Pelodiscus sinensis: one gene and its partner. The protein of the gene in region 2 purifies or fractionates together with the protein of the main gene of each other region. This does not show direct contact. Links are inferred from orthologs where the notes say so. Each region holds a gene or a part of one and is shown on either strand. Other genes may lie near its edges.

What was found. The genes of interacting proteins can lie anywhere in the genome.
Region 1: the proteins of RPA1 (region 2) and RFC5 purify together in Homo sapiens (affinity purification with mass spectrometry; 3 studies listed by BioGRID and IntAct, with this or other methods). This does not show direct contact. The link is inferred for Pelodiscus sinensis from reciprocal best matches to the Homo sapiens genes RPA1 and RFC5.

Annotation. Positions count from the first base shown.
Region 1 is NC_134725.1:10,998,426-11,006,370, forward strand, and holds the start of RFC5 (replication factor C subunit 5), read right to left. Parts: upstream 3,096-7,945; 5' UTR 2,973-3,095; coding exon 2,911-2,972; intron 456-2,910; coding exon 391-455; intron 1-390. UniProt on the Homo sapiens protein: Subunit of the replication factor C (RFC) complex which acts during elongation of primed DNA templates by DNA polymerases delta and epsilon, and is necessary for ATP-dependent loading of proliferating cell nuclear antigen (PCNA) onto primed DNA.
Region 2 is NC_134731.1:874,893-882,311, forward strand, and holds the start of RPA1 (replication protein A 70 kDa DNA-binding subunit), read right to left. Parts: upstream 3,048-7,419; 5' UTR 3,015-3,047; coding exon 2,811-3,014; intron 1,818-2,810; coding exon 1,770-1,817; intron 1,187-1,769; coding exon 1,108-1,186; intron 1-1,107. Other genes in the region: protein-lysine N-methyltransferase SMYD4, read left to right, coding at 3,048-3,181, 3,871-4,015, 5,743-5,832. UniProt on the Homo sapiens protein: As part of the heterotrimeric replication protein A complex (RPA/RP-A), binds and stabilizes single-stranded DNA intermediates that form during DNA replication or upon DNA stress.

The sequences.
Region 1 (7,945 bases), on a different chromosome or scaffold from region 2:
CATGGATGTCCTAAAAGGGTTTATGATGAGACCCTGGTTAAAATCATGGCAACACATCACTAATTGCATGACAGGAAGTGACTATTTAACTGGTTTCTGCAAGCTTGCCACCCATTGCAAAGAAGCTAGTTTCCACAGTCATTAGATAATGCAGCTTCTCTTCTGCCGTCACATAATGTGGAGTCAGGAGTCCTGCTGCCAAAGTCCTGCTACCACCTCTTCCATTGAGTTTCTCTGTGACCCTAGGCAAGTCAGATGACCTTTGCCTCAGTGGCTCCATCTATAAAATGGAAATTATAGCTGCCAAGCCCAAAGGTATCACAGGAGTTAATGTCTGTAAAGGCCATAAGGAGGCTCAAAAGAAAAATGCTGGTAATACTAAGTACTCACTCGTGCTCAGAATGTCCTGGTGTGAAATTAGGTCGTTCAATGTCTGAGGGCGATATTTTTCCACCCTAAAGATAAAGGTATTTTAACATAAATGCAGATGATGAGCAGAGATTTCAGGCTTTTCACAAGTGTAGAAAACAGGTGTCCCAGACATGAGATTTTTCTGTTCTCTTCCCCATGCTGGACAATCACCCACAAGGCTAGATAAACACTCACCTTCAATCTACTCTGGATTTGGCTGACATCAGAACCTAGCCTTGTGGTTCTGGTTGCAAGTCAAAGGGATCTGTTTGACCCTTAAGATGACAAAAAAACCCTCACAAAATGAGCTGAACTTGTAATTTTTCTGCACAAACTTAGGTTCCGGCATTGCCAAATCCAAGCCCTGGCTGAATCCTAGCACAGAGAACCCAATCCAGGCACCTGCAGTTCCCTTTTGGAGACTAAGTTCCCTTTTGAAGACTAGCCTGCTCTTTTGGCATCTGCAATATCTTTAAATGCCCCAAAGTTTTGTCATGCCTTATACAATTAGAAAAACTCTGCCCTTAGGAACTAGATCCAACTCCATGCTTCTAACCGCAAAATACTCTGCAAGTCCTAGGTCTTCACACTGGCATTTACAAGGGTTAATCTGGGGATTGATTGCGGGTGGTGGGCAGAGAAGCTGGAGTCAACTGAGTTGGGAATTGCAAATGATCCCACTAGAACAGAGCAGCTGAGGTGCGCTCTCGTGGCTGAGTACAGGACTGGCTGGGCACCATGTTTTATTAAACAGATGTTCTGTGTTGAGTGTAAAGCAAGCCAGGCTCAGTGAACACTGAGCCACCACAGCAGGGTAGCCTTATTTCTATTAATCCCTAGGGAACAGCTGACTTTGGACAAATTGCCCCACATACAGGGATCCACCTCCCAGGAGGAACATGGCATTTGAAGTCATAAAAGACTTGGTTGTTGATTTACTCAGGGGAGATGGATGGCAGGGGAGGGCACACCAGATCAGACCAGGTGAGAAACAAACTAGCATGAACCAATTTACACCAACTCAGAATCTGAAGCCAGCCCTTCCTTCCCCAACATCTCTTCTTCTCACTTCAGGAAGGAGTGGCTTCCCCAGATCTGGGAAGGGGAGGAGAGGCAGACCCTTCCTAAGGCTGCAAGACATAGAGAACTATTTTTGACAAAAGCGGGCTATATCCTACTTCCTACCCCGTGCCAGCACTGGTGAGAGGACAGTCCGGGGCAATTTGCATAACCCTTTGGCATGGAGTTATTTTGACTTTAGGAACGGCTGTTACTGCTATCCTAGGCCTCTCCTACAACCTGAACTTTACCGAGCTTCATCCCTTGCAATGAATACTCCATTGCAGCGCATCTGCCTGCAGCCTGTAACTACGAGACACAAGGGGAGGGAGGGCAAGCAAGAGTTGCAAACAGGAAGGGAGAACCCAGGGCTGTATAGCCTGAGCTGTGCCCTCCATGCAGTCAGGGCAAGGGGGCGGGGAGAGGGAGCTAACCCCACGCCATAGCTGCTCCACCATGCCAGCTCTTGCATGCAACAGTGGGGGCTGGATTCGCGGATCCCAGCTCCCCTGCACACCCCATGCCAGCTCTTGCATGCAACAGTGGGGGCTGGATTCGCGGATCCCAGCTCCCCTGCACACCCCATGCCAGCTCTTGCATGCAACAGTGGGGGCTGGATTCGCGGATCCCAGCTCCCCTGCACACCCCATGCCAGCTCTTACATGCAACAGTGGGGGCTGGATTCGCGGATCCCAGCTCCCCTGCACACCCCATGCCAGCTCTTGCATGCAACAGTGGGGGCTGGACTCGCGGATCCCAGCTCCCCTGCACACCCCATGCCAGCTCTTGCATGCAACAGTGGGGGCTGGACTCGCGGATCCCAGCTCCCCTGCACACCCCATGCCAGCTCTTGCATGCAACAGTGGGGGCTGGACTCGCGGATCCCAGCTCCCCTGCACACCCCATGCCAGCTCTTGCATGCAACAGTGGGGGCTGGATTCGCGGATCCCAGCTCCCCTGCACACCCCATGCCAGCTCTTGCATGCAACAGTGGGGGCTGGACTCGCGGATCCTAGCTCCCCTGCACACCCCATGCCAGCTCTTGCATGCAACAGTGGGGGCTGGATTTGCGGATCCCAGCTCCCCTGCACACCCCATGCCAGCTCTTGCATGCAACAGTGGGGGCTGGACTCGCGGATCCCAGCTCCCCTGCACACCCCATGCCAGCTCTTGCATGCAACAGTGGGGGCTGGATTCGCGGATCCTAGCTCCCCTGCACACCCCATGCCAGCTCTTGCATGCAACAGTGGGGGCTGGATTCGCGGATCCTAGCTCCCCTGCACACCCCATGCCAGCTCCCGCGTGCAATTGGCGGGAAAAGGGGGGATGCAGGGACCCAACCCCCCCTTTAGCATGCATCGGGGGAGGGGGGGGCAGGGCTGGACGGGCCCGACCCCAGCTGCGCGGCACCGCTGGGCCCAGGCTCTGTGCTTCTCCTACCATGGCAGGTTCCTGCTTTTCCCGGCGGGCGGCGGCGGCTGCTTGGGGGCTGCAGACTCCATGGGGCCGCGCGCGCCCCCTCCCCGCCTTTGCAGCGGGGCGCTCAGTCCGCGCCCGGGGCAGCAGGAGAGCCCGGCGGCTCGCGCTCAAACAGCTCCCGGGCCTCGCGAGAGCGCGCGGCTGCCCGCCCCTCCCCTTCCCCGGCTGCCCGCGCGCGCTGGGGCTGCGCACGTGGCTTTCGGGCCAGGTGCTGAGCGCGCGGCCACCTTGGTGCTGGGCCCGCGGGGCAAGCGAGCCACTGATCCTTGCACTGAGCTGCAATGGCTGGAACCCACAGCAGGCCCCCGGGGTGCAAGAGTGCCCCTAGTTCCAGCACCGCTGCAGTGGATTGGCCTTCTGAGCGCTGCGCTTGGCTTAAGCCAGCATTCTCCCAAGCATTCTGCAGCTTTCCTCTGCAACCATAGGTGGAGGAGCTTGCTTGTTTGGTTAATAATAATAATAATAAAAAAAAATGAGAGTCGCCTGAATCCTGGAGGTGGGGCTTGAAGGAACACAAAACCTGACAAAATCACCATCCTTAGGCATATGCTGAATCCTCAGCACTGTAGGGCAGGAAGCCCCACTTTTAGTGCCTGCTATGTACACCTAGGGCAGTGGTTTTCAAACCTCACATGTTTCTACGCAAACCTTTCCCTGGACCACCAGTTGCTAATGGAAACTCGCCATTAATTACATAATTATGCCTGAGTCATTTTGCTAGTGCTGGAGGTAGAGAGAATGGTTTGATTTAACCTTAACCAGTAAGAAAGGAAATGTTAAATTATTAAAGAGTTTTAATTAAATGTTTTAATTTTCTTATGTTAGTTTATTAAACTTCATTTTAAATAAATTACAGAATTACTTTATAAAGGAAAAACAACCTTGTGATACCATCTACATCAATGGTCACCAACCAGTAGATCAGGATCTACTGGTAGAGCTTGGAGCCTCTGACAGGTGATCCTGACTGGTTTGGCCAGGAAGCTATCAAGCACTGTCACTCCAGTTACTCCTCCACCCACACTTATGCTGCTCCTGCCGGCTGCCTTGGAGCTGTCCCCCTGGGAGCCTCTTTCTTGCTGTGCAGGATGTGGGAGGGAGAGGATGGGGGGTGCTGATGTCAGAGTGTCCCTCCTCCCCCCACTCCTGTACCCTGTCTCCACACAGAGAGAAGGGGATGGCGGGAGCTTGGCAGTGCAAATCTCTGTCACTCTCACACAATGTGTGTCTCTATCATTCTCACAAACACATACTGCCCTTCACTCACATCTCCCAACCTAACAGAAATGTGGGTTGTTGTTACTTCTGTTACTCTTTGTGAAGTGTTTTATTTTTGGTTTCTGACTAGTCTGTTCATTTCATAATTTTCATTTCTCTCTTATGCTTAAATGTATTTCTTTGAGGAGTGAGTTCTAAAATGCTTAACCTGTCATGGCTGGAGTAATTACCCCTGTGGGAATTGCTGCTCCTGGAAGTGGCTGGCATGTTCATGCAGCTCCTGAGAAAGGGAGAGCAGGGGGTCTCCACATGCTGTCCTTGCCTGCAGACACCACTCCTGCAGCTCCCATTGATCAGTAATGGGGAACTGTGGCCAGTAGAAGCCGTGGGCTCAGTGCCTGTGATGAGGGGCAGCATGGAGCCATTGCTTTACATGCTAGCTGCTTTCAGGAGTGGTGCAGGGCCAGGACTGGAGTAAGACTGCCTTAACTCCACTGCAGGGGCGGCCCTAGACTAGCTGCAAGCAACTGGCGCCCTAGGCGAACCATGCAATCAGCGCCCCCACCTCCAAACCCCTCAATGATATTGTGCCATCATTTGGTGCCCCATTTAACTTGGTGCCCTAGGAGACCACCTAGTTCGCCTATATGGACCGGTTGCCCTGCCCCACTGTTCCACCACCCGGAAGCTGTCTCAATTAAACGGTGCCCAGCCAGAGCCTGCTTCCTGAAACCCTGTCCCAGCCCAGAGCTTGCACCTTGAAACCCCTCCTGGACCTCAATCCCCCACCCTGGGCTAAGCCCGAAGCCCCTCCCACACTCCAAATCCCTTAGCCAAAGACCAGAACCTTCACCCCAACCCCTGACCCCAGCCCGGTGAAAAAGAGTGAGGATGTGGGAGGAAGGGGGATGGAGTGAGCAGGGTGAGGGTGAGGCCTCGGAGAAGGGGTGAAGAAGGGGTAGGGCCTCAAAGAAGGGGCTGGAAGAAAACGGGGCAAGGTTATTTGGGTTTGAGGTAGATTTTACATGGCTCTTAAATTAAAAAAGTGATCTTGTGGTTAAAAAGGTTGGAGACCCCTGATCTACATGTTTTGTTAGTCTATAAAGTGCTACTAGACTACTTGTTGTTTTTAAAGTTTTTCCTGTTACAGACTACTTGGCTACCCCTCTGAAGTATTACTTTATGTTCAACACAAAAGGTTTCAATGTTTTGGCAGGGGTGAGGAACTGTTTTTGGCTCAGAGGCCTCTAACCCACAGAAAAATCAGTTGGAGACCACACAAGTGAAAAGCAAAACAAATCCATCCAAAACCCCCCAGCCCTCACTGATGTGGCCCCCAACTGGGACACCTCACTCCTGTGGGGTTTCAGCCCCATGGGGTCAAGGAGAGGGACAGGGAAGACTGCAGTTCAGGGATTACCATGGGCTGGGCGTCTGGCCAGGAGGAAGGTTGCAGGAGCAAGAGAGGGTGCTTGAGCGGGTTGAGGGTGTCTGGCCAGGGGTAGAGTGCAAGAGCAAGGGAGCATGCAGGAGTAGGGTGGGGGAGAAGGGTGTCTAACCAGGGGAGAGGGTGCAGGAGAAGGCTGGTGGTCGGGTGTCTGGCCAGGGAGAAGGGTGCAGGAGTGGCCTGGTAATACGGGGTCTCAGTGGGGAGCGGTGCAGAAGCAGGGTGAGAATGCAGGATCTGGGCATGAGGGGAAGAAAGAGCACTTGTTTGCTTTTGTGCGCCATGCTGCTCCCAGTCAATCCGGCCAATTGGAGCAGCAGAGAAAGCCTGCAGGCAGAGGGGCTGTGCACTGCTGTTTCCCCAGCTGAAGAAGTGGGAGGGAGAGTGTCAGTGCACAGAGCTGCTTCCGGCTCCACTTCTTCCCCATAATCTGGCAGGGAGGCTCAGGGCTTCCCGTCCACCACAGAGGAAACTCAGCAGTGATGCACCAACCTTGCTGGTGGGAGTGAGAGCACGAGGCTGGAGAGCCAGTGCAAGCTTCCTGCTGCAGGGAGAAGGAGGGAGGCAGGAAGTGGGGGGAAGGACGGGGCTGACCTTGAGCTGCGGACTACCTGGAAGGTGGTGGTCCAAGGACCACAGTTTGAGAACCACTGGCCTAAGGCCACCACTGCAAAAGGGGACCACAAGGTGCTGGGCAGTGCTGATGCCAGCAGCCATCCTCCACCCCGGGCTGTGCTCAGTCCGTGGTTATCCACTCCACTTCACGGTGCAGGGACCCAGACAGGGCTGGAAGCTGAGGTTCAGGGCAAGTGGTGGAGCCCTGGATAGCAGCCGGACCCGGGATGTGGGGTTGGCAGCAGCGAGGAATCCACGTAAAGGTGGGGGTGCTGCAGCGCCCCTGAGTTCCCACACTTACGCCTCCTTACACTGCTCCTGCCCCTGCAGCCCTGAGTGTAGCCCCGCACCCTATGGACCAGCCACTGCTCTGTTTCCCCCACCCTAAGGACGGCCCTGTCACCAGAACAGGAAATGTTGGAAACTATGCTGATTTTCCTCCTCTTAGCGTCTGGACCCCTAGAAATACTTTGCCCCAGTCTTGCAGTGAGCTCCCATCACATGGCGTGCAGGCACCGGCTCAGGGGGAATTACCGGTGTGCTGGAACTAGAGGTACTCCTGCACTCCCTGTTTTGAAGTAATAATACCAAATATGTGGTTTCCATCGTCAGTACCCTATTTATAAAAATTGCTCTAGCGCCCCTGGGAATTACCCATGGGGCTTTGCAGGCCCTTGGGATCCAGTTGTGAGCCTTAATTGGTTAAATTGCCTTTTGTAACACTGAAAAAAAAACTGTTAAGAGCTCTTGCTTTTGAAATAATTTGAATAAAACTTCACTTTTTGGAGACAGGGAGCAATAGGTAAAAGGATTATCTTGAACACATCCCCAGTTATTTAATTCAAAGTTATAAGTGTCCTGAGTGGCATATTTTTGTTAGTCACGAAACATTATCCACACGTACATATTTGGAACTCATCATCTGCTTAAGCTGGAAGGAATATTGAATGGGACGATATTGGCATGCCGGTATATGGAGAAATCAGTGTACTCCAATCTTGCAAAAAGCAAGATTGTGTTAGATCTCTTATAAAACATTTTAGTGTGATGAGAGGTTATCCTTAAATCTTTAGCATAATGAAAGGAGAATGGAAAGAGCGGAGTGAGTCACTTAGTTTGTCTAAGAATGGGAGACTATGAAACTTTAAGTGTTTTAAATCATGATCACAAACAATGCACAGTTCCAAATGTAAATCAAACAGCACGTAGAGCACAAAGCAGAAAAAAATAATATGCCCCTTTCTTCTGTGTGATGTATAATGGAGGCCTGAAGACTTAGCATATGAATTTCCTTTTTATTGAAAATAATCTTTTTTTTTATTAATTTAAAACTTGACATTTCTGATTTTTTGTTTTAATTTTTCCTGTTTTTGCTGGTGGACTCCAGTCATTTAGAGATGTGGGCTCTGGAGTTTCTTAGCCTTAGTTGTATTGGTGGACAAACTGAATTATTAACAAAAAAAAGAGGTTTTGCTCTCAAATGTGTGTTAAAGGTGTTAAAAAACAACCATAAAGCATCCCAGAGTTCAAAACAATTTCAATAAAATATTCCTTTTTATTAATCAATTTTCTTGCTTGGTGCCTCTAATGTTATACATATGCCAACATCCCAGCAGGTCATAGTCTCTTAGGAAAAATGGAATATGCAAGAAAGGAGTTTCAATCTTCAAAAATAAAATACAATGAAAAAAAGCAAAAAAGGGCACAAACAATTTT
Region 2 (7,419 bases):
TCCCAAACATAAATTACATATTAACTCTCTAAAGTCTGAGAACAGAACACAGAGCTTTCTATATTCCCCCACATTTGCCACAGAAAATGCATCATGGCTTCTGGGCATCAGACACACCCTATCAGGAATATTTTGAAGAAATTCGTTCCCCGGGTAAAAAAGAAAAACTTGTCAAGTGGAAGTAGCGCAACATGACGATGCAGGGTCTAGTTGCAAGAACAAAACTAATAAGGAAAACTGCTTATTGGGAGAAAATGATGTAGATGAAGATGTGGATACATCTTCTAAAAGATAAAGATGAAGATCTAAGTGGTATCCACAGTTAGTAATTTAAATAATTCACTTTGAAATACATCATTCATCAAGACTCTATGCCTTTTAGTGTGTGATTTGACAAGTAAATTCCCAAGCTGTTTGCTGTATTACATTTTGCTGAAAAAAAAATTCTCTTAGCTAATCCTTATAGCTTGTTTTTAATTAGTTAACCAGGATTAGAATCTGTCATTCAAGTATACAATATAGAAAGCTACAGTAAAAGAAATCTAGAGTTGCCAGTTGCCACTGACTGTCATTTTCTTATCAGATATTACAAAATACATGCCTCTCATTTTGGAACATCATGGTCCAGATCATAATTACCTATTTTTCTTCAGCATAACTTATCTTTTCCAAGAGAACCCCAGAGGGGCCAGTGAGTTCAATCCGGGCTTACTCCAAAATTTGGGGTTTACTCCAAAATTAAGTGCACTCTAAGCACATTAAATCTAAGCTTCTTTGATAACTTGATTTAAATTCATGACTCAAATCACCTTGATTTAAATCAATCCACCCAGACCACCATTATTAAGATAGTCGCTAATCACCATTCCATAGAATTGAGCTGTTCTCTATAATAAACAAATTCTTGGACACACTGCAACAACTCAGAAAAGCTGGAGTTTATTTATAAGATAAAATACAGTTACAGATTCCAACATCAAAATAAATTCTATACCATTCACATTCTGGAACTCAGTTCAGCAGCAAATACCACTGTCATTAATTCTGACCATTGGGTCTAATTATTAGCCATGTACTTGTAAATTCTTGTGACAATGCATAACTTACAGGAGAGTGTGTTCACCCCATCGCTCATCAGCACACGGTAACGAGGTGGCCCATTTCCTGTGGCGATGGCTCGGATGTTCTAGAAGGAAAAACTTGAATTCTTAGCCCTGATCTGATTTTACAGGCATACATTAGAAACAACGAAGAGCTGACACCTGTTCTGGAGAGCTTACTCATAAAACAGAAAACTAAGATAGATGACATTCAATTAAAGCCTCTCTCAGACTGACTAAAACATGCTTGTGCAGATTCATGCCAATGAGCCTTTCAAGTACAAGTTGCTAGTACTGGTCTACTCACCTACAAGACTTTCACTTCTTTGGCAGCTCAAACGGAGCTAGAAGTGGTGGGGAGGGAGGGGAAGGAGCCTGCCACTTCCAGCCCTGCACAAGGCTGCTGCTTCCACCCCTTGTGATGCTGCAGATTCCCAGCCTGCGAGCCCAGATTGGGAGCTGACAGCCAAGAGCGGGGTTGGAAGTCTCAGCCCACAGTGCAGGGTCCTCTCCAGCTCACCCACTTCTGTCAAATCATTTAACCAGTTAAACTTAATGGTTGCCAGGTTAGGTACCTTGTCTTTATGGATTTGTAAAACGGCACATACACTTACAAGTACATTAAGCTACAGGTCACACGAGTAAGAGGACATTTGAAGGAATACTCACAATGACTTGGAGAACAGGTCTTAAATTATTCTCTCCCTGCATTATGGCCTGTAAAGGAAGATAGAGGATTTAATCCTTTTGATTGGAAATGATTTTCTTTAAACTTTGTAACCAGGGAGATTAGCAAATAAATAACTAGACTAATTATAATAAACGGCTCCCAAAGTGCTAAATCAAACGTAGATAGTATGCCAGCAATGTGAACATCCTGAAAAGTTCTGTTCACTGTAGAAGGAATCACACTGCTGGTACAAGGAAAAGGGCAAGACTATGTGCTGAGAGACGTGTTTCACCTAAGAAATCCCTGGACTTTATGGGAAGTAACAGGCCAAGTTGCTAGTTCATCATTTCTCACACAGTAGCCTGTTGAGCCCTTTCAGGCAGTCTATGGAGATGCTGAAAGTAGTTCTACTTCCTACAGACTGTAACTTATTCAAGGACTTCAGAATTCTCTCTGGCACACCCCAACATTGCCCCCCCCCCGGGGTGCTCCGGAGACAGCTGGGGGAGGGGAGATTAGTCACAGTCCTCAGCAGCCTGCGCTCCCCTCCCCGCTCCACGGGGCCAACAGGACGGACTCCCCCAGTCCACACCGGCCCGGGGACTGTCCCCCTCGTCTCAGCGCATGGTGCACCCCGCAACCCCGCCCATCCCGGGGGGGGGGCCCCCCCGCAACCCCGCCCATCCCGGGGGGGGCCCGCAACCCCGCCCATCCCGGGGGGGGGCCGGCCCGCACCCCCGCCCATCCCGGGGGGGGGCCCCCCCGCACCCCCGCCCATCCCGGGGGGGCCCCCCCGCACCCCCGCCCATCCCGGGGGGGGGCCCCCCGCAACCCCGCCCCGCCCCCGCCCATCCCGGGGGGGGGCCCGCAACCCCGCCCATCCCGGGGGGGGGCCCCCCGCAACCCCGCCCCGCCCCCGCCCATCCCGGGGGGGCGCCCCGCCCTCGCCCATCCCGGGGGGGGGCCCCGCAACCCCCACCCATTGCACGGGCACCCCGAAACCTCGCCCCGCCCCGCCCCGCGCACTAGCCCCCCCTCACCGCGATGGCCCCTTCGCTCAGGCGCGCGCTCATGCTGCGCCACAGGCTCCGGCTCCGCGCGCTGCCGCCAAATGCTCCCGCCGCAGCCCGCTCGGCCGCCGCGTCACCGCGCACGCTCCGCACGCACCACGTCAGCCGCGCGGCTCCCCCATTGGCTGGCGCGCGTACGGCGGAAGGGAGCCTCTGGGGTGCGGGCGCCGCCATTGCAGCAGCTGCCGGGGGAGCCTCGCGCCGCCCATGGAGCTGCCCGCGGAGGCCTGGCGGGCCCATGCTCGGGGGCGGTGGGGCTCGCTGGCCCCGGCCCTGCGGGAGGCGCTGTGCGAGGCCGCGCCGCTGCGGGACACCTTCCGGCTCTGCGCGCCCCTGCTGCGGTGAGCGCCCCGGGGAGCAGCCCCCCGCTCCCCCCGCCGGCCCCGGGGAGCGCCCCCCCCGCTCCCCCCCCCCGCCGGCCCCGGGGAGCAGCCCCCCCCTCCCCCCGCCGGCCCCGGGGAGCAGCCCCCCTCCCCCCCGCCGGCCCCCCCTCCCCCCGCCGGCCCCGGGGAGCAGCCCCCCCTCCCCCCGCCGGCCCCGGGGAGCAGCCCCCCTCCCCCCGCCGGCCCCCCCTCCCCCCGCCGGCCCCGGGGAGCAGCCCCCCTCCCCCCGCCGGCCCCCCCCTCCCCCCCGCCGGCCCCGGGGAGCAGCCCCCCTCCCCCCGCCGGCCCCCCCCTCCCCCCGCCGGCCCCGGGGAGCAGCCCCCCTCCCCCCGCCGGCCCCCCGCTCCCCCCGCCGGCCCCGGGGAGCAGCCCCCCCCGCTCCCGCTCCCCCCGCCGGCCCCGGGGAGCGGCCCCCCCCTCCCCCCGCCGGCCCCGGGGAGCGGCCCCCCCCCTCCCCCCGCCGGCCCCGGGGAGCGGCCCCCCCCCTCCCCCCGCCGGCCCCGGGGAGCGGCCCCCCCCCTCCCCCCGCCGGCCCCGGGGAGCGGCCCCCCCCTCCCCCCGCCGGCCCCGGGGAGCGGCCCCTCCTCCCGCTCCCTCGCTCTCCCCCCCGCCGGCCCCCCCGACCCGACTCTTCTCCCGCCCCCCAGGCCAGCGGACGAGGCGGTGCTGCGGAGCCTGGCGGCCCGGGTCGGGGTCGGGAAGGACCCACGCGCCGCCCGCTTCTACAAGCAGGAGGGGACCCAGCGCTTCCAGGGCCGGGACTACGCGGCTGCGGCCGGGCTCTACAGCAAGGTGTGCGGCGGGTCTGGTGGCGGCTCGGCTGTGGCTGCGCTGGGCAGGTTTGGCCACCGAGTGCTGTCACATGCAGACTTGTAACACGTTTTCTGGCCCTCCCGTTGGCCACATTCCATGGCCACATGGCGAGCGAGCTCCTCTGCCACAGCTAGAGCAGAGCCGCCGGGGTCAGCATCCCACAGGGCGGCTGGCAGGCTTAGCGGATCTGTCCCTTCGCTGCCTGGAGCAGCGTCCTGATGAGCTCTGGGAGCTCTCCCTGCCCAGGAATGTCCACGGCCAGTGTGCCAGCAGCTGTGTTCCGGGCAGGACTTGTTCTTTGTTCCCCCAACAGTGCATCCCGCTCAGCTGTCAGGTACATCCTGGGGTGCATGCCAGGTGAGGGACCCATGTCTGAAGGGCAGCAGACATCACAAAACAGGAAGCAGAGCCATCAGGGCAGGCATTGTGTGATATTTCTCAACAAAATTCACACTGGCTCTTTGTCCACTATAAAGGGAGGGGAAAGACAAAAGTCTCTGGGGGGGGGGGGGGAGTTTTTATTGACAAAATTGTGTGTTTTTCCCATCACGTTGTAGTGTAAATGTTCTCGCTGTTTTGGCGACAAAAGGCAGCTTTGGGTGACAATGGGCGAGTGTAGACCAGGCCTTTAGCTGCAATGCCCGGGTGCTTATGAATCCTGTGGCAAGGGTCTCCTGTTATGTGAAACTGGCAAGGAAGCAGCCCTCTGTAGGACAGTCCTGGGTTTTGTTCTGCTGCATGTTCAGTCTTCTCTAGTAAATAGCTCTGTTACCACATGACTCTGTGTTATTCCTAGCTCTGCTGTAAATCTGGGCAAGCCCAGCACTGCACTTTGTTCAGTCTGGAAAGGTGCTGAGCACATTCAACTCCCTGTGACTTTCACAGGGGCTGAGAGAGCTCTGCACTAGACTGGATTGGGTCTAGTTTTATCTTGAATAAAAACATTTTCACAAGGGTGTTGAGGTTCAATGTATAGGCTTTTGTAATTGCCTCGTGATCCCGTGGATGGAAGACTGCCTAATAATCTAATCTGACCTCCTACAGAACTGAGGCCTGGGAATTTCATCCTGTAATATCCTACATCAAATTAATTGTGGTTAAACTATGTGTCTTTAGAAAGGCATCCAGTTTTGGTTTACAGATTTACATTGATGGTGAATCCACCATGTTCCTTAGGTTAATTGTTCCAGTGGTTGGTTGGCCTGTTAAAATTTTGCATTGTATTTCAAGTCTGAGTTCAGTACAGAAAAAAGCCTAATGAAATATCATAATGTAAGTACTTATAGACTGTGATTCTATCCTCTTTTAACCTTAAGTCTTTTATAAGACAGGTTTTTCAGAGCATGAGTAATGTGTTAGCTCTTCAATGTAACATTATTTCTCTTTGAAGAGCACACATCAAAATCAGGAACAATGTTCCAGTAATTGTTTCACTAAAGTAATCTACAGAAATAATACGACCTCCCTGCTCGTCTGTATTCCCCTATTTAGGCATCTGAGAATCACACGAGCTCTCCTGGCTGTTGTAGCATGGAGTAAAAATTGAAGAAGTCAAGATAAAATGATGACGGATTGGGAATGAAAATCTCTAGTTCCCTTCCTACTCCTGACCACGCACATCTCATGTTCCAGAAATCAAGTTGTCCAGGGAACATATGCCAATCCTCCTTTCTCAGTGTGGCCACTGCTCTTTTTTATCTTTGCAGGCAGTGTCCCACGTAGCACTTGACAGCCCAGAAATGTCATTGTGTTATGCCAATCGTTCTGCAGCCCTCTTTCACTTGGGAAAGTTTGTGGTAAGTACTAGATTTGACACACTCAGGGACAAAGCAGCAGCTATTCACTTTGAAAACTGGGTATAGAGAATCTGGTATTGGCAATGGAGTTTTGCAGTTATTCAACTGTATTTTATATTAGTGATATACAGTCCTGTTTAATTGATTAACCGGTTAACTTGTTACACATCACATTTAATCAGTTAGCGGGAGCAGGGGGTGCTGCGCCAGCCCACCCGTGCCAGATCAGCCCACTGCCTGTTGCAGGCCCCACAGGGCTGGAGCAGCCTCTGCTGTTTAACCAGTAAGCATCCCCTGTTAAAGGTGATGCGTACTGGTTAACTTTTCACATTCCTATTTTATATGCCATTCCACAACTTCAAAGAAGTAGCATGCTGTGTGTTTCTGAAAGTGCCAGTGCTTCATAATCCCACTGTGTTTTCCGAAAGGCGGCAGCAATAAAGCTTGTCTAAGGTGTTAAAATAAAGGACCACTAAATTGGAAAAGGCCATAACTCCGGTCTACTTCAATGGTAGACGACCCATCGTCAACAGCTAAGAAAAATGCTTTCAACAACATTCGCAGGACCGTACAGAGCAAGCTTCGCAAGATGCAGGACTCCTGGTTGAGTGCCAAAGCAGATGAAATCCAGAAGTTTGCTGACAGGAAACGATGCCAAACGGTTCTACGAAGCCCTTAGATCTTTGTACGGACCTCAGCCCTCAGGGAGCTCCCCTCTACTGGACTCAGATGATGTAACTCTCATTACTGAGAAGACTCTGATTCTACAGCGTTGGGCTGAGCACTTCCAATCCGTACTGAACCGCCCATCCTCCATCAATAACGAGGCGATTGATAGAATGCCCCAGGCGGATATCAACCACAGCCTGGATGTCTCACCATCAGAGACTGAAACCTTACAGGCCATCAGCCAGTTGTCCAGTGGTAAGGCCCCAGGATCTGATGCGATCCCAGTGGAAGTCTATAAGGATGGTGGTGCAATGCTTGTCGACAAACTCACTCAGCTGTTCCAGTCCTTCTGGAATCAAGGATCTATTCCTCAGGAACTGAAAGACGCGTCCATCGTACACCTCTACTAGAGGAGAGGAAATCGACAAGTCTGCGATAATCATAGAGGAATATCACTGCTCTCCATCGCAGGCAAGATCCTTGCACGAGTGTTGTTGAATCGCCTGATTGACCACCTGGAACAGGGTTTATTACCCAAGACACAGTGCGGCTTCCACAAAGAGTGTGGCACTGTGGATATGATCTTCGCAGCCCGACAGCTCCAAGAGAAGTGTCAAGAGCAGAATCGTGAACTGTACACCATCTTTGTGGATCTCACCAAGGCTTTTGACACTGTCAGTCACAAAGGTCTGTGGTGCATCATGTCGAAGTTTGGGTGCCCTGACAGATTCATCCTGATGGTACGTCAGTTCCATGACGGCTCGTGTTCTGGACGATGGAGAAGCTTTAGAGGCTTTTCCCGTCACAAACAGCGTCAAGCAAGGGTGCATGCTGGCACCGACCCTGTTCAGCATAATGTTTTCAGCCATGCTGTCAGACTCCTTTCAGAACAGTTCCTTGGGAGTCAGCCTGAGATAC